3 linked regions of the Lepisosteus oculatus genome follow. The protein of the gene in region 3 binds, or shares a complex with, the protein of the main gene of each other region. Links are inferred from orthologs where the notes say so. Each region holds a gene or a part of one and is shown on either strand. Other genes may lie near its edges.

The links.
Region 1: the proteins of agt (region 3) and dpp3 are in contact, whole or in part, in a crystal structure (PDB 5E2Q), measured with the Homo sapiens proteins. The link is inferred for Lepisosteus oculatus from reciprocal best matches to the Homo sapiens genes AGT and DPP3. Residues at the interface, in NP_001369746.2 of Homo sapiens: Asp25, Arg26, Val27, Tyr28, Ile29, His30, Pro31, Phe32; in NP_005691.2 of Homo sapiens: Phe109, Glu316, Tyr318, Glu329, Phe381, Gly385, Ile386, Pro387, Ala388, Gly389, Ile390, Asn391, Ile392, Asn394, Arg399, Val412, Leu413, Val415, Ala416, Phe443, Val447, His450, His455, Glu507, Glu508, Asn545, Arg548, Leu552, Glu555, Phe556.
Region 2: the proteins of agt (region 3) and ren are in contact, whole or in part, in a crystal structure (PDB 6I3F), measured with the Homo sapiens proteins. The link is inferred for Lepisosteus oculatus from reciprocal best matches to the Homo sapiens genes AGT and REN. Residues at the interface, in NP_001369746.2 of Homo sapiens: Asp25, Tyr28, Ile29, His30, Pro31, Phe32, His33, Leu34, Val35, Ile36, His37, Asn38, Glu39, Lys91, Leu92, Ala95, Met96, Met99, Leu100, Phe103, Arg107, Arg148, Ala151, Ile152, Gly154, Gln353, Gln354, Asn355, Asn358, Glu391; in NP_000528.1 of Homo sapiens: Tyr81, Met82, Thr84, Gln85, Val102, Asp104, Gly106, Ser107, Asn109, Ser118, Arg119, Leu120, Tyr121, Thr122, Val125, Tyr126, Leu147, Arg148, Tyr149, Ser150, Pro181, Ala182, Leu183, Pro184, Met186, Leu187, Ala188, Glu189, Phe190, Val193.

The regions. Positions count from the first base shown.
Region 1 is NC_090713.1:22,418,595-22,426,341, reverse strand, and holds the start of dpp3 (dipeptidyl peptidase 3), read right to left. Parts: upstream 3,003-7,747; 5' UTR 2,893-3,002; intron 694-2,892; 5' UTR 660-693; coding exon 390-659; intron 1-389. UniProt on the Homo sapiens protein: Cleaves and degrades bioactive peptides, including angiotensin, Leu-enkephalin and Met-enkephalin. Also cleaves Arg-Arg-beta-naphthylamide (in vitro).
Region 2 is NC_090700.1:38,578,607-38,586,645, forward strand, and holds the start of ren (renin), read left to right. Parts: upstream 1-4,912; 5' UTR 4,913-4,999; coding exon 5,000-5,061; intron 5,062-6,703; coding exon 6,704-6,857; intron 6,858-7,969; coding exon 7,970-8,039. UniProt on the Homo sapiens protein: Renin is a highly specific endopeptidase, whose only known function is to generate angiotensin I from angiotensinogen in the plasma, initiating a cascade of reactions that produce an elevation of blood pressure and increased sodium retention by the kidney.
Region 3 is NC_090712.1:2,034,412-2,042,439, forward strand, and holds the start of agt (angiotensinogen), read left to right. Parts: upstream 1-4,954; 5' UTR 4,955-5,059; intron 5,060-7,240; 5' UTR 7,241-7,273; coding exon 7,274-8,028. Other genes in the region: capn9 (calpain-9), read right to left, coding at 3,049-3,264. UniProt on the Homo sapiens protein: Essential component of the renin-angiotensin system (RAS), a potent regulator of blood pressure, body fluid and electrolyte homeostasis.

The sequences.
Region 1 (7,747 bases), on a different chromosome or scaffold from region 3:
ACCCACTGCAGACACACTGACCCCTCCTGGACCAGGACTGGACACCCCCACTGCAGACACACTGACCCCTCCTGGACCAGGACTGGACAGCCCCGCTGCAGACACACTGACCCCTCCTGGAACAGGACTGGACACCCCCGCTGCAGACACACTGACCCCTCCTGGACCAGGACTGGACAGCCCTGCTCCAGACACACTGACCCCTCCTGGACCAGGACCGGACAGCCCTGCTGCAGACACAGCGCCCCCTCCTGGACCAGGACTGGACACCCCCGCTGCAGACACACTGACCCTTCCTTGACCAGGACTGGTCACCCCATTATTCATGGGGGATCCCAATACTCTGGCCAGAGGGGGTGTGAAGAGCCGCACCGCCGAGACAGGCTCACCTGGAACTCCTCGGGGGTCAGCCCCGCGGCCGTGGCCACGCCCTCCAGCTCGGCGGGGGGCTGGCGGCGCAGGAGCCGCTGCAGCAGCACGTAGACGGGGGTGGACTCGGGCGAGGTCTGCAGCAGCACGGCCAGGCCGCCGTACCAGGCGGCCCGGGACACGTAGTGGGCGTACAGCTGCTCCCTGGGCGACAGCAGCCGGAAGGCCTCGGCGCAGTCCAGCGCCGCGATCCCGACGTCGTTGGGGAGGTAGTACTGGGAGTCCACCATCTCCGGGCCCCGGCTCAGACGCGGACAGCGAGCTCTGCGGGGCGGCGAGAGAGAGAGAGAGAGAGAGCGCCGGGACGTGAGCCGGGCGGCAGCGGCAGAGGAGGCGCGCGACTGGGGGGGGGCAGTGCCGGAGCCTGTCCCAGCAAGCACTGGGCCGGACAGGACGGCCAGTGCTTTGACGGTCCCCCTGGTCTAATGAGACATAACCTGAACCGCCAGACTGGCTATCCCCCTGTTGTAACAGGACTGGACCTGAACCACCGGACCGGCTGTCCCCCTGGTGTAACAGGACCGGACCTGAACCGCCGGACCGGCTGTCCCCCTGTTGTGACAGGACTGGACCTGACCCGCCGGACCGGCTGTCCCCCTGTTGTGACAGGACCGGACCTGAACCGCCGGACCGGCTGTCCCCCTGGTGTGACAGGACCGGACCTGACCCACAGGACCGGCTGTCCCCCTGGTGTAACAGGACTGGACCTGACCCGCCGGACCGGCTGTCCCCCTGGTGTAACAGGACCGGACCTGAACCGCCGGACCGGCTGTCCCCCTGGTGTGACAGGACCGGACCTGAACCACCGGACCAGCTGTCCTCCTGGTCTAACAAGACCAGACCTGAACTACTGAACCAGCTGTTGGGGCAGCTTGCTCCACACCCCCGCCGCCCTTTGTGTAAAGCAGCCCCCCCCGTCATCACTGGGCAGATCTCACCCCGCTGCTTCCTGAAAGCGTCCTGGGAGTGCGTTTCCGTGTGTGTGTGTGTCCGTGTCCGTGTCCGTGTAGGCGGGCGTGTTTTTTACGGGGTTGGGCGGAGCCCCAGAAACGACACCAAACGCTCGCCAAGACAGCCTTTGGACTTTGCAGTCCCATATAAAACCGACTAGCCTTGGGGACACACCCAACACGCCCAGCAGGGGGCGCAGGACTGCCCTATCAAACAAACACTCCGGCCCGGACTGCGGGCAGCTGCCCTAAACCAGGTACACGACGGGTCTCCACCAGGGGAGTCCGTGATCGCCACACAGTACTGCCCTCAGAGGGCAATTTTTAAAAAGTCCGCCAGGGGTCCCCACTCCTGGTCCAGGAGGGGACGCTGCGTCTGCGGGGTTCCTAGTTCTCTTAGAAACAGCAGCGCCTGAACGGCTGTTTAAGTGGTCCAATTAAAGCCGTTAACGAGCCGACGCAGGTCGTTAAGGGGACTGAAAACCTGCAGGCCACACAGCAGCCCCGCACGACCCAGACTGGGGAGCCCCCAAATAAATTAATTGGAAGGGTCAAGCCTAACAGTATTGTAGATACTGGTATTTTAAACACCCCTACATGGGGTTAGTGATTTCTGCAGTGTTAACCTGAGAGACAGATCACACTCCCACTGCACAGCAATCTGATCCGCTCCAGGTCTTACTCGTTCCTGTTGTACTCATCGTAGGAAAGGGCCGCATTTAAAGACGGGCAAGTCTGCGCACTATGAGCAGACAGACTCTACGTAGACCCAGCACTGCGCGGCTGCCCTGCCTGCGCAAAGCCCGGACTGGATCATCCTGCTACACAGCAGGAGCGCAGCGCCGACTTCTCCGCGGACTGCATCACATATCCCAGACGGGTAGGGAAGGTGTGATTTGTTCAACGGCTAGCAGAGCTAACTGGCGGACGTATCCAGACAGACGGGTTCGGGTCCAGTCCGGACGTCCGAGAACTCGCCAGAACGGAGCCGAGCCGTACCGTTTAGGGCTGGGGAAATGTCACGGTGACACGTTTTTTTCTGTTTGTAGAAAAGTGGAGAAGTAAAAAATCACAACCCCTCCATCGCCAAGTCATGAGATGATTCCCGAGAAATCCCCGGAAAGCGGTCTCGGGTGTGAGCTGCGCTCTCCGGCCCCGGACCGCCAAGTCAGAACCGAGCCGCCAGCCCGGGAGCCGGGCAGCGACAACTGGTCTGTCGCCACTGAAATCGCGACATGAGCCGCACAGAAAGGAAGAAAACAACTACACGGATACGGCAGGGTGCGACTTGTGTGCAGGAGGGGCACAGCGAATCGAAATGAGAATAAATGAAATATTAACGGAGAGGAGCCGAGGCTAAAGTTCACAAAACAGAAGAGATTTTCGTCTCCCCCCCAGAGCTTTCCGGGACGCTCTTGTTTTGACTTTTCGGCTAACGGGAAACGCGTTTTTGTAAAAAAAAAAAAAAAATATAGATATATTTATATAAAACCCACGAACCGATACCGCTCACCTAGATATATTCACAGTGGTTCAACGAGAGTCTTCCCCGCTCGCACCGTCGCTACCCGCAGGCACTTCCGGTTCTCATTCATTGCCCGGCGAGGAGGGCTTCCGGGTTGTCACAGGCGACAGCCGCCTCGACCAATCAGAGCGGAGAACCGCGCCTGCGTCTGGAACCCGATCGGCGCGCCGGTTGCCCAATCACCGTTTGGAAGGACGTCCCGCCTCCCCACTGAGTTCTTAAAGGGAATGCTCCGTTCGTCCGATTTCTTTTTTTTTCTGCACCCTTTAAACATTATAAATTCTATTAAAAGTTCGGCCGGGAGAGACGACCTGGTTTGTCAGCTATCGAGTACACACAAATAAGCGCGAGTGTGGGACGAGATAAACCGCACATTCGCGGTGTCCGTTAACTGTGCTCTGCACCTGCGTGCAATACCAGTACGAGACACTAGACGGCAGCTGTTGATCTTCTAAAGAGCAGCAGCCCGTTTTCAGCGTCTCTAGTTGTTCTCCGCTCTTGCGTTGGGCACTGGGGGGTCGTGGGTTCGACCCTGGGGTGGGAGACCCTGCTGCTGTACCGCTGAACAGTGTACAGGACCCCAGATTGACTGGGGTATCATCTTGGAGAGCACTAGACCCTGGGGATCCCCAGGACCAGGGCTGGAGACCCCTGATTTAGAAACCTGTAATTTGACTGCAGGCTTATTTTTGCATAGGCTTCTATGGGTTCAGGGTTCACATCACTCATTACTTTAGCATGCGTTTACCCTGATCTCACTGGGCTTTACTGTGCTTTTACCCCGATCTCACTGGGCTCTACTGCGCTGTACTGTGCTTTTACCCCGATCTCACTGGGCTCTACTGCGGTGTACTGTGCTTTTACCCCGATCTCACAGGGCTCTACTGTGCTGTACTGTGCTTTTACCCCGATCTCACAGGGCTCTACTGCGCCGTACTGTGCTTTTACCCTGATCTCACCGGGCTCTACTGCGCTGTACTGTGCTTTTACCCTGATCTCACTGGGCTCTGCTGCACTGTACTGTGCTTTTACCCCGATCTCACTGGGCTCTACTGCGCTGTAGTGTGCTTTTACCCTGATCTCACTGGGCTCTGCTGCACTGTACTGTGCTTTTACCCCGATCTCAGTGGGCTCTGCTGCGCTGTACTGTGCTTTTACCCCGATCTCACTGGGCTCTACTGCACTGTACTGTGCTTTTACCCTGATCTCACCGGGCTCTACTGCGCTGTACTGTGCTTTTACCCTGATCTCACTGGGCTCTGCTGCACTGTACTGTGCTTTTACCCCGATCTCACTGGGCTCTGCTGCGCTGTACTGTGCTTTTACCCCGATCTCACAGGGCTCTACTGCGCCGTACTGTGCTTTTACCCTGATCTCACCGGGCTCTACTGCGCTGTACTGTGCTTTTACCCTGATCTCACTGGGCTCTGCTGCACTGTACTGTGCTTTTACCCCGATCTCACTGGGCTCTGCTGCGCTGTACTGTGCTTTTACCCCGATCTCACAGGGCTCTACTGCGCCGTACTGTGCTTTTACCCTGATCTCACCGGGCTCTACTGCGCTGTACTGTGCTTTTACCCTGATCTCACTGGGCTCTGCTGCACTGTACTGTGCTTTTACCCTGATCTCACTGGGCTCTGCTGCACTGTGCTGTGCTTTTACCCTGATCTCACTGGGCTCTACTGTGCTATACTGTGCTTTTACCCTGATATCACTGGGCTCTACTGCGCTGTACTGTGCTTTTACCCCGATCTCACTGGGCTCTGCTGCACTGTGCTGTGCTTTTACCCTGATCTCACTGGGCTCTACTGTGCTATACTGTGCTTTTACCCTGATCTCACTGGGCTCTACTGCGCTGTACTGTGCTTTTACCCCGATCTCACTGGGCTCTGCTGCGCTGTACTGTGCTTTTACCCCGATCTCCCTGGGCTCTTCTGCGCTGTACTGTGCTTTTACCCCGATCTCACTGGGCTCTACTACGCTGGACTGTGCTTTTACCCCGATCTCACTGGGCTGTACTGCGCTGGACTGTGCTTTTACCCCGATCTCACTGGGCTGTACTGCGCTGGACTGTGCTTTTACCCCGATCTTACTGGGCTCTACTGCACTGTACTGTGCTTTTAGCCCGATCTCACTGGGCTCTACTGCATTGTACTGTGCTTTTAGCCCGATCTCACTGGGCTCTACTGCATTGTACTGTGCTTTTACCCCGATCTCACTGGGCTCTGCTAGTTTTCCTCTGTCTTTTCCTGCACTGCCCCCCTCTCTGGGCCCGTCTGTTTCTCAGGAAGCCCGTCTGTCCCTCCTGCCCTCACTCTCCCTCTGCCCTTGCTCGGTGCTGTGTTCACGCTCCATTAACGTCCTAATCCTACCTCCCCTGGGGCCGAACAGGCCTCTCTGGGCTTCCCTAAACAGGAAACGGCCTGATTGCGTTATTAAGCCTGGGTCTAGGACCGCCCGATCCCGCCTTTCATCCCCCCCGCCACTCATTCCCAGCGCCTGGGCTGGCCAGATCGCCAGCGGAGATAAACAGGGGTCACCCCTCCGTGCCCGAGCCCCTCCAGGCGCCCTGGCAGCGCGCTCTGAAGTCGGATCACGCCCCCCCGCCGCCGCGCGCCCGCAGAGAAAAACACGACATGCCGGTGTTACCTTTCGCGGGGCGGGGCCCTATCGGCGAAGGTGTGTGAAGCCCGCGCCACACTGAAATGCTTCCCCCCACCTCCTCCCCGGCCCGCAACGTCAGTTCCCGCCCCTGGTGTGAAAAAGCAAGACCCGAGCCAGCTCAGGGAAGGGGAAGGTCGGGGATGCCGTGCCGGGGGACCTCGTTAAAGGGGCGCTAACGAGGGCTGTCGACAGCGTGGGCGTTTCAGGCAGCAGGGCCCGTGTGCCAGCGTGCAGTCAGCAGGAAACGGGACCGGGGGGATGTTTTGACTGCGCTGGGGAGGGGGCCGTGATTAGAGAGCGCCGTGCCCTCTCTCTCTGGGCCCCACGGTCCAGAAGCCAGGGCTCGGGGGAAACCATTACCAGGGACAGGGTGGCACTGGGGGGGATAAACACCCATCCCTTCTGGGCCCGGGTCATCCATCATCCCCTGTCACAGCATTCCGGCCCGGACAACAAGGCCCAGGACAGGAATCGCGGAGAAAGGCTTTTATTTCTCATTCCGCAGTCTCAAGCCTGTCCCGGGCTGGGCCGGCCCACGCTGCAGAACTTGGTGCGGCCGGGTTGTGGGTTGTGGACCGCACTGGGGCGGGTCACACTGCAGGGCACTGGACCGGACTGGTCCGAATGGAGACCTAGGCTGTTCAACACAGAGGTCACAACGGGCGAGAGGGGTCTGGAATTAGACTGGGATGACCTGCGTCAGTCCGGAGAGGTGTGGGCTGGACCGGACCGAGTCAGACTGAGATCTAGGGAACAGCGTAGTGGGCTGAACCGGGTTTGATTTGGCCCAGACTGGACTGCACGGGACCGCGATGGAGTGGAATGGGCTAGGTCAGATTGGACCGGTGCACAGGACTGTTGGGTTAGAGTGCACTAGAAGAGACTAGAAGTGCCTGCCCATCCACACCCGAAGAAGGCTCCACAGCCGAAACGTTGTGTTTCCTTTCATCGCTCTTCTGCGGGGAATAAACCTGCACTTGTTCCTTTGCAGCCAGCTCCCCTCCTGAACTACTTGAATTATTATCCTGATTGATTACTGATCAAACCTTTAGTTGAACAGCAAGACTCATAGGAGGTTATTCCCACCCCTCTCTGTTCCTCGTTAACTAGTTGCCAATTAAGACCAGACAGGAAGTACACGAGGAACAGGAGGCCTCGCACCCACAACCGCCATTAACGGGACTCAGACCCGGCCTTCCTGGTCATGCACTGTGGCACAGCACAGACAAGGCTGGTTAAACCCACAGCACATCTGTGGAAAAAACACAGTAAAACAACCCACAGAGTGTGATACATTCACTATGGTAAACTGTCAGAAGGCTGGACTGTCCCAGACTGGACTGGACTGGACTGGACCAATCCATACTGAGCCAGACTGGAACGGACTGGACTGAGCCAGACTGGACTGGACTGGACTGAACTGAGCTATACTGAGCCAGACTGGACTGGACTGACCAGCAGTGAAAAAGAACAGGCTGGACTGTGGGAAGAGCCAGACTGGACTGGACTGGACTGGACCGAGCCACACTGAGCCAGACTGGACTGGACTGAACTGGCAGTGAGAACGGACTCGGCTGAGCCAGACTGGACTGGACTGACCGGCAAGTGAGGGAGAACGGGCTGAACTGTGGAATGAGCCAGAAGGGACTGGACTGGAGTGGACCGAGCCATACTGAGCCAGACTGGACTGGACTGGACTGGACCGAGCCATACTGAGCCAGACTGGACTGGACTGGACTGGACTGAGCCATACTGAGCCAGACTGGACTGGACTGACCGGCAGTGAGGGAGAACGGGCTGGGCTCCTTCTCCGGCTCTCTTCCCCCTCCCTGGAAAAGCGCTCCGGCCTGCGAGAGCAGCTGCAGAGGAGCCAGCCAACCACAGGAAGTCCCTTTCAATAAATCACCGCCGCCTGACAAGTTTCGGGAAAGAAAAGGCCTTTCCCCCTGGCTGCCTGTGGCCACACGCGAGGGAGAGGAGAGGAGAGGAGAGGAGAGGAGAGGAGAGGCAGTCCGGAGATCTGCACCCCCGGAGGGACAGCGGGCGGCACGGCCACAGCGCCCCATCCCGAGCCGGAGCCTCCGAGATTCCGGACAAAGCAGGGATTCTGTTGGAGTGCCGGCACAGCTGGATTTCTCCCAGCCACATCTGGAAGGGGGGTGGAGGTGGTGGGGGCGCT
Region 2 (8,039 bases), on a different chromosome or scaffold from region 3:
GGATGAAAGCTGTTAGCTCGGTTCCAGAGTCCAGCCTTGCCTGATCCCTCTTCACCGGAGAGGGGATGAGAAACATTCCCCTGCAACGAATCAGAGCCACTCGCCAGATTTTTCCATTTCAATCCATAATTAATGATTTCCTATCAAGACACTTAACAAAACAGGATGCCTATAGCATTAACAATTAATAAACTATTAATGTGACAGTTTCATGTTTTTTCATGACAGTTCAAGTTAAAAGCTCACGTTTTAACATGATAAATACTATTGTTTTTTACCAGTTCCTATTTTTGAAAGCCAGCAACTGAGGGGTACTGCCGTAACCTACATGAAGAATATGCTGTACTGTGAAAAATTCGAACATTATCAAAGTATCTCTAACGATATATATATATAAAATATTTCATGGAGGTGCAATATAAATTAAATCATAGCGTAAACTAAGGCAAAACTTGTCCATTTGAAATATTAAATGGCAATTGAAAGGTCAGAGCTTAATGTGGAAATGTCATTTCCACGTGGAATAGTAGGAGAAGGTGGAAATATCACACAGTACATAAGTATAAAAATCGTCTCATGACATGCATCTAGACTGACCATCAGACACAGTGGCATTTACCTTGAGATCTTAACATTCTGAAAGCAGCTCAGCATGACAGTGTGCCGGCAGTCAGGACTCTAATCAGTTTCTAAGAAACTGGCCTCTCATTTGATTTGAGAAATAGGTGCTTGCAATTAGTCAAACAAGAATAAGGTACATGAATAATCAGAACTCAATGCAAACTCATGTGTCGCTTTTTCATGTATTCAGTGTGGCTGTGCAGAAAGTACAATAGAGAACCCACATTCCATTGTCTAATCTTTATATGCAGCACAAACACTGTGGCTTTACTGAGCTTTGTGTAGCCTATGTAGTGCACAAAACAGTGCTTTTTGGTCTTGAACAGCTTTCAGGGGTAAGACAGCTCTTCATTCTGCACAGTTCGGGCTCCTAAGGGTATAGGCTGCCTATGACTGCCTGAGGGTGTCTTAGCATAAACAGACATTGATGGATGGAGGCACCTTCTCTGGTAAGGTTGGAGGGAGTAGCTACATCAGCACGTGGGCTACAAGGGTAAATTCAAAGGAAAAGAGTGAAATAAGCAGCTTTTATGCAGTAGAGTCTCTTTCTTCATTTATTCTGTAGAATATGTTTAGATGATGTTCACTCTGCAGTCTGTGATAAAGTGGTCTAGCCACAGACACAACACCAAGGAAACAGCCTCTCGGCTTCAAGCATGAGAGAGTTTTGCCAGAATCCTACAAGGGGAGCGATGTGAGAGATTCCTCGTCTAGCATCAGGGTTCCTGGAGCTCGACATTACCTTGTGTCCTAAATTCCTGGCAACAGTGCAGGAGGGACCTCTTTTCCCATGCCTAAGCAAGAGCTGTGTGTTTGGAGGGCGTGTGTTGGCGCAACTGAGTGACGCAGGGGTCTTGCCCAGGGTGTCACCATGGGGTCCCTGTTGAGGCTTCTGGAGCACAGCTCTGTGGGAAACCAGCTTCTTGGGGCATCAGCTTGGACTGGAGGTCACAAGAGTGCCTCTGCCAGTGCCACTTGTGCTCCCTGCTTGCCAAAAAAGCCCTCTTTAAACCGTCCATCTGGATTCCCAGCTCCTGGAAGGCCTGGAACAAACACACAAAGCGCAGAGAGTGGGAAGGAGTTTGTGTGGGCTGATGAAGAAACCCGACTGTGTTGAAACCTGTCATTGCTATTTCACAAAGGGCTCAAAATGTGGGTAGCAGTGCAGGAAACAGCACACTTCACAGCCAGAGAATCAGAAGAGTCGACAGCTGCACTCCTTATCTTAATTTATACTCAACCAAGTTGCTCCAAACTGCCTTGGCAAGAAAAACAAACTATGCCCAGCCGCCCGTTTTCCTAATGAGGAGGTATTTCGGTAGACATTTCCACCTCCACAAAAATGATAATGAAACTCACAAACCGAGGTCAGGTGGCACCAAACAGCCAGCAGGCTCAGAAACAACAAGGCTACATTAAACCCAAGTCCGTCACTGCCGGGTCTTAACACGGCAATCACTTTACGCTAGAAGATTCTTGTCTTAATAAGCAAGTCATTTACTGTAAAACCTTATCACAATGACTGCCAAATGATTTCTTGGTAGTGCCAGGGAGTGGGAACTGTTTGAAATTCATCCCCAGACTTTTTTTTCCTGCCTCCTTCCTGACGTGAACGTTAACATCTTTTCGTCCGATGCGGGGTTGAGTACACAAACAGGACCTCCAGCCTGACCTCAGAGCAAGCTGTGGGAACCGAATTTGACTCACAGGAGAGACATGGGTGTGTGTGTGAGTGGGTGAGCAAGTGCATTCTGTACTGAAGCCTGTGGCAATACAGAGGTTACAGTAGGAGTTTCCCACTCAGAGCAGCAGGAAAGTATTTGGAGAGAAAGATATTCTCAGTTGATACAGATACACAGGGGTGCTATCTGTGTAGGGAGAGGGGGGATGCAACCAGCCCAGCACAGCTGGCCCAGGCTTGAACCCAGATCTAGAATGATTATTTTTATTCTTCTATTGACCAGACATTTATCAATCTTGGTGATATATGCTACTGTTTTGCTTGTGCTTGTATTTCGTTTGTAAACGTCACCCATCTGAAGGCAGATTTTGTCATTGTGGATAAGGGGGTGTGGGGAGGAGGGAACCCATCCCAAATGTCTTTTTCCAAATATCCCTGCCCTAAATAAATCCTTACTGCAGCCCCAGAGATGCAGATATTTTATTGTTAAAACACACAGCCTATGCAAACTTCTTTCATAATGTTTACCCATGAAGCCTCATGTGAGGTGCATGTCTTCTCATACTGCAGTAAAAAAATAATTTCAACCTTACAAGGAGAAACAACATATTCCATGTGGCACTACTTAATCCAATCCAATTATGGAAGTAATAAAAAATGCTAATAAAAGAGAGGAATTCTGCATTATGCTTTTTATATGAGTTTGTTTAGGCCTCCAGTAAGTGTTTGCGGGAACCGAAAACTTAATTCAGCTGACTGACAGTTAATGTCATACAATTATTGCAAGTATTTCAGTATTTGCAAAGTACAATGCTGTTATAGACAGTAGCTGGATTGGGCACTTAGCGCAGGACCTGAGCCATGCGGATGCCATGTTTGTGTCTTTCCTAAAACAGTTTGGATGAGTTTCCTGGACTCTTTGCAACAGCAGACAGGCATCCCGGGTGACTAACCTCCACCAGTGTCCCAGGAGCCCCGGTGGAGCAGGCTGTGGTAACTGAGTCTTCGTGGCGCTGTGAACTGACCCACGTGCAGTCCCCTCAGGTTGTGAGAACCGGTCTGCTGGCCCCTGCGATGGCCTATAATTAATGGAGCGGGACACGGGTGCACACCCCAGAGACCAATCTGTCTGCAGAGGGCCAGCCTGCTGTGGCTCTTCCTAGGACTCCAGCTCAGACTCGGAGCGAAGGTGAGCTGGGGATTTCTGTAGCTCAGAGGGGTACAAGACCGGTCTGCATTAACCCATCAAACACAACACCTCCACAGCTGCAAAAAGAAGAGCTCAAATACCACATCTGTGAAAATAAGAATATCACCACCTGTGAATCTCCCCGAGAGTGTGCTGTTTTACAATTTTCCAGATTTGTTAGACGTTGTATTTACTGTACACGTTTCATTTTTAAATATTTTCCAGGGCATTATCATGGCAAGAGCAAGGTTAATCGACAGCTCTTTAAGGACAGTTTTCAAGAGAGCGACACTTGAATCAGCACAGGAATGGGGGAGAGCAGAAATTTTTTTGTTCAATGCTAGATATGAAGTTAATTTTAATCTGTTTTGTTTTCTTCACAGCTGTATAAAGTGATGCTTCAGTAAATGTCAATGCATCTTTCTGTACTGCATTTGTTTTGGATGCAAAATATATGAAGGGATTTATATGGTGTTTTGAGTCCCATGCATCATTTCTTCAAGCAATATTGTGGAGATACGAAAAGTAAAAAAAGACATACAGATAAAAATTAAACTGTGACAGCAAAGACAAACAATATATAGCCTAAGACTGTAGCTGTAAAAAAAGGAGACCGCAAAACAGTTCACACTTCAGAGCAAAGAAGGTCAACCAAGGTTATGAAGGCTGTGGTAATTTTTCACCCAATAATACCTGAAAGCCAAGCTCTCATGATTACAAAGCCAATCAGTCATTAACACTGATACGGAATAGTGCAAGAAGGGTGCTCTTGCAGATGAGGCCCAGAGAGTGTCTGAAAGTATGCAGTAAATGTAAAGAAATTCATTTAACAAAAAGCATTTTCTTCCCACTGTGGGAGGACCAGAACATGAGCATGTGTGTGTAATTTTCAGGAGTACCCCATGTTTCCCCTGGCCTGTCCTAAGACATATTTGTTGCTTCTGGAGTCATACCTTCATAGACCACCTTGTTGGCACACCTGGAACACCACAATATAAAACAGTTCTAACATAAACAGGTCATTAATGCTCATCTTAGAGGATCCAAAAGACCTGGGACTTCCGGTAACACAGGTCACTGTGAGCACTTTTTCTTTCTTCACCTTCCTTTATTTGTATTTTATTTCCTGTTTCAAACAAATGATTGTGCTCCATTAACATGTTGTTGCCCCATTATTAAAAGCCTCTACTTCACAGCTAACTCCAGGGTGAAGGAGTGCCTCCCTCTGAGAGAACGCTATCTTGGGAACGCTCTGTGTCGCTGCTCTCCGTCTCAACCCCTTCTCTGAGGTCAGAGGTCGCACAGCTCTGGGACCACTTCACCAGGGGAGGGGCTGGGTGAGGGGACAGGGTTGTTTGGTGCTGTTAGCAAAAAGAGGCTTGCAGGGCACTGCTGGGCAAAGAAGAGATGGTATAAAAAGGAGGAGGTACAGTACAGTCTGCCAGACAGAGATCGCCTGAGGAAACAGACTTTGTTTGAAAGCTGTCACACAACCCCCTGCCATCACAATGCGCTGCTGGGCTGCTCTCCTGCTGGTGCTGATGATCACCTCAAGCCAGGCTTTGATAAGGTAACTTTTTTCAGAGTACTTGTCAGCTCATTTATGCATGCCAGAGACACAAAAATTATAAAAAAGAATGCTTGCAATGATGCTTAAGAAAAATGAACCCTGTGGCTCCCTACATCAGTAAATTCTTAAGAATTCTTAAGAAAACTTACCAGGCAATTTCTTTCCACAGACATGATGTAGTTTTACTAGTATGAATCTGTTTTACTGCTGTTTCCCACAGCTTTTGTGTTGATTTAATGTAGGCTTACAAGTTTGCTTTGAGTAACTGAAATTCGATCTATGGGGCTTTTGTCATGCTACAGTGCTACACTTTTACAAGCACATTCCCGACCTACTGTAGTAAGAACACCCCAAATGCCCTTTTCTCTCCTCTGCGATGCAAAGCACGGATTGCAATGACAATAATAATAAAACAATGATTACTATAATAATAGGGTGGCATGGTGGCACAGGGGTGAGCGGTGCTCCCTTGTAATGCTGAGGCTCTGGGTCCTGGGTTCAGATCCTGGGGTGCTGTCTGTGTGGAGTTTGTATGCTCTCCTCATGTTTCTGTGGGTTTCCTCCCACAGTCCGAAGACATACTGGTAGGCTATTCTGTTTCTTCAAAAACTGGCCCTGGTGTGAGTGTGTGCAGGTCCGTGTTTGTTTGTGTGTGTGTGTGCCCTGCGATAGACTTGAGCCCGATGCCTGCTGGGATAGGCTCTGGTTCCCCTGGGAGCCTGTATTTGATAAAGCATTTAGAACATGGATAAGCTTTGGCGCTTATCAGGAGCAGAAAAACAGGATTTGATGGGAAAAGGGAAGAGGACTTTTATGCTTCATTTTCATGTTTTAAACAGGTGTCTAGTATGACTTGATGAAGTCACACCTTCTTGATACTGTACAAAATGCAAAGGACATTGAAGTGTCACATGAAGGAGATTAGGCTCACTCAGACAGGTTTACTCTATACATGATGCAGATGACCAAGGAAATTATTTAAAACGTTTGATTTCCACTAGTATATGATATTCAAATATAATAATAATATATACATTGTTGCATATATTTTATACATCTTAGACACAAAAGTTTTCTCAACACAACATTTTCTATTGCTCTAACAATTGTTATTAATACAGCTTTGCTGTGGGTGAGAAAAAAAAACAAATGATTTAGTGAATTTTTAATTCGCACTGATCAAGGTTCAGTGATCACACGTGATCACAGTAATTTAAGGTGAACATATGAACAGCCCATAGGGAATTCTGTAGCAGCTAAACCATCACTTTTACCAATCAGATCTAATTAACCCACTGTCCGCATCATTAACATAGTCTGTTCTTCTCTACATATTAATAAGGATACAAGGTTACTTTTTGTACTACAAAAGACTGACTTGTAAGGATTAACTGTGAGCATTATCTAAACATTTTAAAACAAAATGGCTAAATTTCAATACAGGTTTACCATAGCTGTGGAGTCCTGCAGCTCAACAAATTTATTCCTGCTGACAATTAGTGCTGGAGGTGTTGATTTCAACCAGTTTAAGTACATAATATGCAGAACACAACAAGCAGAACTCAGCTGGGGTAAGGCCACTCACAGTTTTGTTCCAGTGTGTTGATTTCTGTTCGGCCTGATTCATCTCCTCTCCCGTCAGGATCTCTCTGAAAAAGATGCCCTCGATCCGGGAGACCCTGCGAGAGATGGGCGTCTCCCCAGCCCAAGTCTTTGCCGAAATGGCCCAGAAGATGGGATTTGACTCACCTCCCAGCAACGGGACCGCGCCCACCCCCCTCACCAACTACCTTGATGTGAGACCAGCAAAACCTTTTTAATGTGTACCGAGTAAAAAGTTAAAATGTGAAGAAAATGACACATTTTTAAGTCAGTGTTGGCCAGTTCTGGAACTCCACAATGTGCAAGTTGTAACTCCTCAAGACTTGGAGAAATCGCAGCCAGTTCATGAAGATCATAGCTTAATTAATAAATTGTGCACCAAAATGTTTTCAAAACCATTAACACTCTGCAGCTCCTGAGGACTACCAATCAGGTGTCCCTCCCAACACTACGGTGCTGATCTTTCAGGCCAGTGAACGTCACCTCCGACCCTCAAGAGATATTGGATCAACTGGCTGATTTTCTCCTCGGGACTTTCAAAGCTGAGGAGTTAAAGTGAGCTAGAAAACCCTGCCGGAGTGTGTATCGCCGTAGTAATTAACAACACAGGTCAGCGATGTCTAGCTGTAGCTGCAGAGTAACACAAGCCATCATGTTTTGTGTGTCACCTGTAAATCATCAATTTCCAAAACCACTGGCTTTCACCTCTTGAAATGTTGATTTACTCAATGGCGTTGATTAGATTTGAAATTAAAATCACATCTCTCAAAGACCACAGCCAGCCATTCCTAACTTAACTAAATCAAATCACAGCCACAGCTCATGTGTTCCAAGTCCGTGCGGGGTTATGGATTTATGGGTAAGCTATTAAATATGTGAATCCCCTGGACCGGAGCTGGCCATCCCTTACAGAGATGTTATAAAGGGTGCAGCTCAAGTTAAATGAGACACCAGCTTGCGCTCTTCTGTGCACAGCTCCAGTGTTTGAGGATTGGCACAGGCTTTTTTAAAAGAGATGCAGGAAAGAAGAAAAATACCATAGCGTTTGTAGTGCTTATTATCAATTATGAAGTTAATTATAAAAGTAAGACATTTCCCATAATTTCCTGTCCAAGATTGCAATATAGCCTCTCATATCCTGACACCACAGTTTACAAAGTAGGGAAAATACATTAAATTAAAGCAACAATGAGTTGTGGTTCTTTTTTATCTCCACCACAGGCAATTATGGCAATATTAGAGTGATCGTCAAATGCTCTGACAGCTGTTTTTGTGATTTTTCTTCCCGGTCCCCTCTCTGTCTCAGACGCAGTATTTTGGGGAGATCAGCATTGGTTCGCCTCCACAGATGTTCAATGTGGTATTTGACACCGGCT
Region 3 (8,028 bases):
TTTTCCTTAAATAAATATTTCCAATTCCAGCTTACATCAAAGACCTTGAGGAGATCAACTGGCAAATTTATTCTTTGGTAAAAAACATTCCCATTTGAATATCTTATGTTTTTTATAGTCCAGCCTGTACAAGACACAGGGAGGTGTCAGGCTGACAGTTCGTCTTTTACAGGACGATAAGACCACTAGACAGTAATCACCACTCTCTGCTGATAATGTGCATCACAAGCTTTTAAACGAAGAATATACCCCTCTGAGTCAAAGTGAAGGTGCCTGGGAGGCTTGAAATCAGATGGTTCTTGCCTCATGAAAACAGGTTTTGAACGAGTTGGGAGGAGAAACTAGTGTTTTTTTAGGGTGTGTTCAAATATTCTGCTGGAAGATCCAGAAACGTTTGATTCCTGGTAGTGCTGGATGCCACTGGAATGCAGCTGAAACAAGGGGCAAGAACCGGACAAAACTACTGTACACCACTTCCCAGAGAAAACCACGTGGAAAACAACATTTGGATCAAGAATTGGTTGGGCCAATTCTTCCCGATTTATACAGTTTCAACAATAACTGGATATGCCAACAGAGCTAGCAAACTAGCAAACATATATTCAAAAAATAGGATGAGTGACACAAAGAGTGACAAAGAAATGATGAAGTCTTAGACATGGAGTGGGCAGACATTGCACGGGATGTTTAACACTGAAAAATGTGAAATTCCAGTCCAGGGGGTTACTGTATGTTCATGCTTCTCAAAGCACCAGTAAGGCTTCAAGTAGAGCTGTGGGTGTCTGACACAGGCTTCCCAGCAAGGAGATGGAGGCCCAAACTCAGAGTTCTTTTAAAATATAGCTGCATGAAATTGTAGTTTCATTCTGCTACCAAACTACCCAATTGGCAAGGTGGTCAAACAGTTTTCCTCTGGTTAGGATCCTTTCTTAAGTTCTTTTGTGCAGTTGTGCACATTGCCCTACTGCTTCAGGTCCCTCTCACATTGAGCCAAGTGCTGTGCTGGAAATATTGATTACCACCTCCAATCAAAACCAGAAGTAGAAACAACAAAATTTAAAACACAAGATTCAGTCTAAGGGAAACAGATAAATGATAAGAGTGCTATTATTTGGTGGGGCGAAAAACATGTCTACTCCAATGCAAATCGTGAAGTACAGTCTGCAGGTCCACTACATCTTGACGTGAAAGGTTACTATTCTCTTATTTCTTATTTACAGCTGGTGTCCATTACTATTCCTCTGCAGGTGACAAGCTGTGAACTTGAAACACATTCCAGCTTGCAGCTCAGAGCTACCGGCTCTAAGTGACACTCCCACGCCACGCACGAGAATAGTCTCAGCGGGTTGTGAAAGGAGCCCTCGGCGCCTCTCCCGTTCAAAGTCAACAGAAAAGACATTCTTGGCGTGCCACCGCGCTTCCTTCCTCACCAGCACTGCAGTCACGGGACAGGGCATCACTTCACAGACACCCCATTTCTTAGCTACAGTGGGTATTCTAATGAGCTTTCGGGTTTGAAAGGCTGTGCAAGATCCGCTGCTGTATCCGCAGTTATCTGGTGATCGGAATCACACAGTACAGTATATTCAGGCGGCTTCTCTCTGCAGTTCAGTACAGGCCCTGCAGCTCATGTTTACACCTGGTCAAGGACTGTGCTCTGCACACCCTTGGTAAATAATATGTTAGTAGTACTGAAAGTCATGAAATAGGACGTTTTTCCTAGAAATGAAATAGCAGTGGAAGGACTACAATCATATACAAAACCGACCGAGTCAGTTCGTAAGCTTCTGTGTGCCGTATGCTATTTATTAGTTTGAGCAAGACGAGGCGTTTTCGTTCATTATTCACAAGGTGTTTTCTGTTTAATTTTTTCCTAGATGATTAAACATGACAGGTCGTCATGACTGGAATTTTAAACCTGGCGTTGTTTTCCCACTTGTTGAAATCAGCAAGCTCTTATTGGGCAGTATTAAAAAGCACTTGGTGGTGTTGCGCAAGACGCGTCACATCCCCTGGCAGAACAGGTTTTTAAATAGGTTTGATAAAAACAATACATATATATATATGTGTGTGTGTTTGACATCAGTCCAAATTAAATAAATGAAGTATGTTTCCAGATAATTACTTTTTTCCAGAGCACTTCATGAAATCGTCTTTTGCGCATGTGAAATAGTAGGTGCTGAATCCCATTTTGAGAACAGATGAGTGTTACACACAATACGTCGCTACCTCTCATTTTATATTTTGTAAAAAGGTGATTAAAAACAAAAAGAAAAACTCTAAATTCAAAAACATGCAAGTGAAACACTGGAGATGACTGCGCTGCGCTAAGGGCAGGACAGTTTTCGTACTTCATTCTGAGATTTGTCACGTTTTACCAGAGCAGGCTTGATCCATCACTTGAGTAATGAATTATCTTGTGTAATTCGCAATGCAGCTGACAACAGTCCTAGATTTTTGTATTTTAAAGTGTTTTTTTGTTTAAGTAAGGTTTTGTCTCACTACTTAATGTGTCTCCATTAAGCATTACTTTAACTTTTTTATGACTGGGACACCTCCGCTGAAAACAAAGCAATAAATATTGGTTTCAAAATGAAAATAAGCCATCAAAACACCAGAGCCGTCATTTGTCGAATCAAAACGCATATTAAAACAGCGTTTTATGAAACGCACACCATTGCATTCGTGATCTAAGTTTTAATGAGACATCTGAAACCGCGTAACGAGAAAAACAATATTCGGTAAGTTATTTCAGAAGTGAATTTTGCGTCCCGCCATGTCCATCGCAACAAATTGAATTCAAACACCTAACAACAGAAACTCCACTGTCGTTTACTGCTGACAGAAAAGTCTACAGTATATATGTATATGGTTTCCAGCTACACGTCGATAAACAGTATTCATTCAAGAAAATGAAGCTCCATTAATCATAAACATAAATATGTTTAGCCCGAACATTAATTGCAAACACAGCACGAATAAACACCCCCGAAACAGTTGGCTCGTCTGCCGGGAGCCTGTATTTATGCAGTGTGAAGCGTGTCCTACCCCCGGTCGCTTCCATGAGAAGTTGATGGGTACGCTCTCGCTGTAGTAGATGGAGGAGTCGCGGGCAGGGAAGTCCGGGTCCTCAAACAGCCGTTTCTTCTGCAGGCATTCCCGGCGGAGCTCCTCGAAGCTCCTGCCGTCCAACTGGGTCGGGCGAGCCTGCACCGGCTTGTCGCCGCCCTTGTTCTGGAAGGAGTTCTGGTAAGAGTAGGGCATCCTCGGACCCTGGCGCGGACAGTGTAGCTCGGCGGAGGAGACGCGCTTTGCGCAGGAAGAGTGGCGGGGCACCTGGTTTTCACCTGGCCGCCGGGCAGGTACCTGTAGGACCACACCTGGAGGAACAGGTTCCACTCGCCTCAGAAGGCCCAGCCCATCCCTCGGGCGGCCCCGGGGGATCTTGGCTCTGGAAAGGAGTAAAAGAATTTACTCCGGCTTGGAGACACAGGGATGAGTGACGGTGGACAGGAATGTCGTCTAGTACAGGTGTATAGCTGCCAGGAGAGACAAACTGCATAGTATGGTGCAGCTGTTGAACTCCTCCTGTCTTTTCAATGCAAACTGTTTGAAGCGATACCAGCAGTATCACTGCTCAGGACATGTATAGCTACAGTATGGCCACATGTTTTGCATGAGTGTAGATTAATTTACACTTCAGTGTGAAGCTAAACTTCCCTTTTCAAATATATCTACTGTATATATCTGTCCTTCTTGTCTTTGTTCCTAGTATGCAGATAAGCACCAAAAAAACATTAATAACAGAAGCACAGTACTTAATAAATCCAGAAGTTCATTCAGTTGTTATCCTGCCATGTTCTTCAAAACTGTGAGGTCCCTCAGCACATGAATCTAGTGACGTTGCCATTCAATGACATAACATTTCTAAAAAAAGGGTCTTTTTTTGCCTTTATGAACTTGGGGGGGATATTAAAAATGTCTATAATAAACCTATAGCAAAGTGTGCATTAAAAGAACTTGATCTAAACGATAACGGAGAGGAGTGAAAACAAATGTAAAAGTAGCATTAATAATAATAACAGTTCTTTCAGGGGGCATCATATACATTTCCACATCGGACTGTATGATTTGTTGTGTTTCTCATCAAAATGGGTCCAAAAACACTACAGAGCCATTAATTCCCTTTGGGATACCCACTGACACACTGAGACTGGCAGCAGTATATCAAGAGGTTCTACTGATCCTGATTATTTTACACCTGAGTCACAGAATCTCTCCTGACGCTGCAACGACAGCTGGGGTATTGCGATGTGAGGGCCATAGGGGTGTGGCTGTTAGCACTGCTGCCTCATGGGTCCTTGGTCCTGGGTTCGATTTCAACCTGGGGCACCTTCTGCATGGAGTTCGGATGTTTTCTGCTCTCTGCTCGGGTTCCATATTGCGAGAACATGCTAAATTAACTCGGTTAAATGGGTCACTACGTTGTCCCTGTATGTTCAGCAATGGAGTGATGTCCCATCCGGGGCATTTTCCTCGCTTGACCCCTATATCTCCAGGATAGGCTGCGGGCTTCACCAGGAATAAGCAACTTTCTGACAGTGGATGGCATTACGATGCACATGGATGTCTTGGCAAAACGTGAGGCCGTGATGATGACTGCAAAGCAGGAGAAGAGGAACAACAAACATAAAAAAAGATGTGCAAAGAATCCTGAGGTCGCACATCGGAAAGCTCAGAAGCTTAATAGCCCATTCCTCCTATTTTTTTTTATCTTCAGTAGCGTTAGTCAGCTTCCTGCAAGGTGTAACAGAAAAACCCTCTTACAACACGGTTATCGTAAAGAGTTTAGAAAGGACACAGAGCTGGTCCATCAGGACAGCAGCACAACTGCGCTGAGAACAGATCGTCACAGCTTCAGTGATTCACCAGCTTGGCTAATGAGTAACAGGCAGGCTAAAGCATGAAGCAACTACAAGGCTGCTTGTCTTTAAAAACAGACCACCAGACTAACGGAACTCTGAAACCAGCAGCAGCTGCCTCAGCAACAGAATTTAAGGTCAGTGCATCTTAATAAAAACATTTTCACAACAATAATTTCCCTTGCAAATATCTAATTAAAAACTGTTAAGAAAATTCAACAATAATCAAATTGAATTTGTAACAAGTTATCCTTGTTATTTTAAAGTAATTGTTTAAAGATAGAATTCTTGCCAGAAACTGTGCACTTATTAATAAAAAGACATAATTCCTTTTTGCTTTGAAGCATAGTGTTGAGAGATTAGCTTGTTTATTGTGTGTCATAGAGAAGAAGCTGAAGTCTTTAAAAGCTGTCCTAGAACTGTTTTAAAAATTATTATCTAATATATAATGTAATACAGTATATATGAAACACACTTTGATGTGTAATTTTATTGTTTTAATATTCATAATCACACTATGTTATGAGAGATTATATTTTTTTATATCCATTTGATTATCATAATTTTATATAAGTGTATTTTAATTCTACACACAAAAGGGGAATTGTGGCACTCTACACATTTGCTTATTAAATAAAAAAGAGATTCGTATCTTGTGTCCAAAGAAAGGAGAAAAAAAATATTTAACCATTTTTGCGGTACAAGATAGATTTTGACATGCGCACCTCATGCAATGATTAACAAGCTTTCCTCTTCCAGAGGACAGCAGTCCTGAATTTGCACTGCGTGCTTTGTGGGGAGTCTTCACCTGCAGGGCTTCAGAAGCAGAAATAAAATACATATAAATCACTCTTTAAAAACTTTTTAAAAAATTCTCCTTCTTCTTGTTTTAAAATTCAATTTTGGAACTTCTGTCATTTGTTTATATATATATATGTAACTCAAAAACAATAGCTTTAGTTTTCCAGTAAATGAACTTCATGCAGTCCGTAGTGCAGTGACTGCAAGGCCTTGACAGTATTGGATTTCTCCTCAGGCTACAGTACAGTGCAGATCAGTTCACTAACCTTTCCCACTAAATAATCAATATGTTTATACAGTACGTTTTTAACATTTATCATGTTTCATAAAACTGGGCTATAAGAACCATCTGTGAGCTTTCATGTTGTTTTTTTTTCCTTTTCTATAAATGAATTTGTTTTATACTTTACATGGGTTTATGAAACATTAACATAAAGTGCTCATGAAGGTTTTACAAGCTTTGAATACCATTAAAATTTACCTTACATTTATATAGAACATTCTAAATCGGTGACCTTATAAACGTTGTAGCCTTGAACAAAATGATCAAAAAGTCAAACTGCATAAGAACACCTATACGTGGTGGGGAGATGAACAAAAATAATTGGTTTAAAACTGCAGACAAGGTCAAAGCCCCTTCGTAGGAAGACATACTGTATGTAACAGCAAGGTGCACTGAGTTGAAATAGTAACTGTTATAAAAGCAAAGTCCATTATCAGACGCGAGGACTCAGAAGAGGACCACAGACCAAATTGAGACAGCTGACAGCAGATCATAGAAGTAAACTGGAAGGAAGCCACTTAGTCACTGCGTTTTTAAATTCGGCTCTGAATTCTGCGGGACGACAGTGCAGTGATGTTACAGACGTGATTTAGTTTCAATAAAAACCCAGTGAGCGATGGGCTTTGGACTTCTTCCAGCTGTATTACAGACACTGTTAAGTGCAACTGTTAGTAAGGCTATGCAGCATTGAGAAAAGGGAGCAGCATAGATGAGTTTATTCACAGCTACTGTCGCAAGCACAGGTAAATAGAAAAGACACTTTGGAAACGTGCTGCTTTTAACAGCAAAATATAGTTTAATGTCACTTGAGTAATCATTTGCCAGCATGATTTTCTTTCCCTTTTTCAAACTTTGTCAGCTTTAGCCCTGAGAATTTTATTTTTCAGTATGTCCAACAGACATAGATATACGGTATGTGTGTATCTATATATGTTTGTCTTATTTAAGTAGCAATCAAAACATTTACTTGTCATTATTACTTGTTTGCTATTTAAACTGTGGCAGTTGACCTTCTTTATCACATTTTCTTTCGCTGATGTGAATCAGACATTAGAGAGGAGCTCAGCAGTTCTGCGAAGTTCTCTTGAGAAAGCCATTCCTGTGATGGACACAGGCCAAACTCAAAAGAGGCAGTAGAATAACGTTGCAAACGGCCCATCATAACTAGCTGTACTTTTGGAATTTCTGCAACGGCCAAGTCCTGATTTCTAGAGTATTTTACTTTTCTGAACAGGTTTACTTCATAAGACGGGACTGAGAAAACAGGATGCAAGAAATCCTGAAGGCTTTGCTCCTTCTCTCCTGCGCTTGCCTGACGCTGGGGAACCGTGTCTATGTTCACCCCTTCAAACTGTTCGCGTTGGAAAATCTCACCTGCGTGAACCTTCAGACTCACAAGGAGAAGCTGCTGGAGGAGAACTTGATTGAACCCTCCCCTATAGACCCACTAAACACCTTTCAGGGGGACACCAGCCCAGACGAACGGCCCGACCGGACCAAACAAAATCTTATCCAGCTAAAAGCCGAAGTGCTTGCAGGGCTCCAGAATGGCCTTGGTCTTCGGGTGTACCGCACCCTACTGAAGCAGAAGACCGGCAACGCTCTGTTCTCTCCTGTGAACACTTTCGGAACTCTAGTCACATTTTACCTGGGGGCCTCATTACCCACAGCTGCAAAACTGCAGGAGTTCATTGGCATAGTGAAGGAGGGAAATACGAAAAACTGCACGTTTGTATTTGATGGCTACAAGGTTCTGACCACGCTTCAGCACATCAGTTCTCTGACTAACGGAACCACCGACTTGCAGAAAACATTTGCGTGGACCTTTGTCGACAGAGGCGTTAAACTGCCGCACGAGTTTGCTCAAGGGACGCGGAACCTCGCCGATTCCTCCTACATCAGGTCGGTGGACTTCTCCCTCACCTCAGAAGCCAGACCCCTCATGAACTCCTTCATCGAGCAGACATCTTTGGGGAAAATAAAAAACCTTTTCAGTGCCATCGACCCATCTTCTGACCTGAT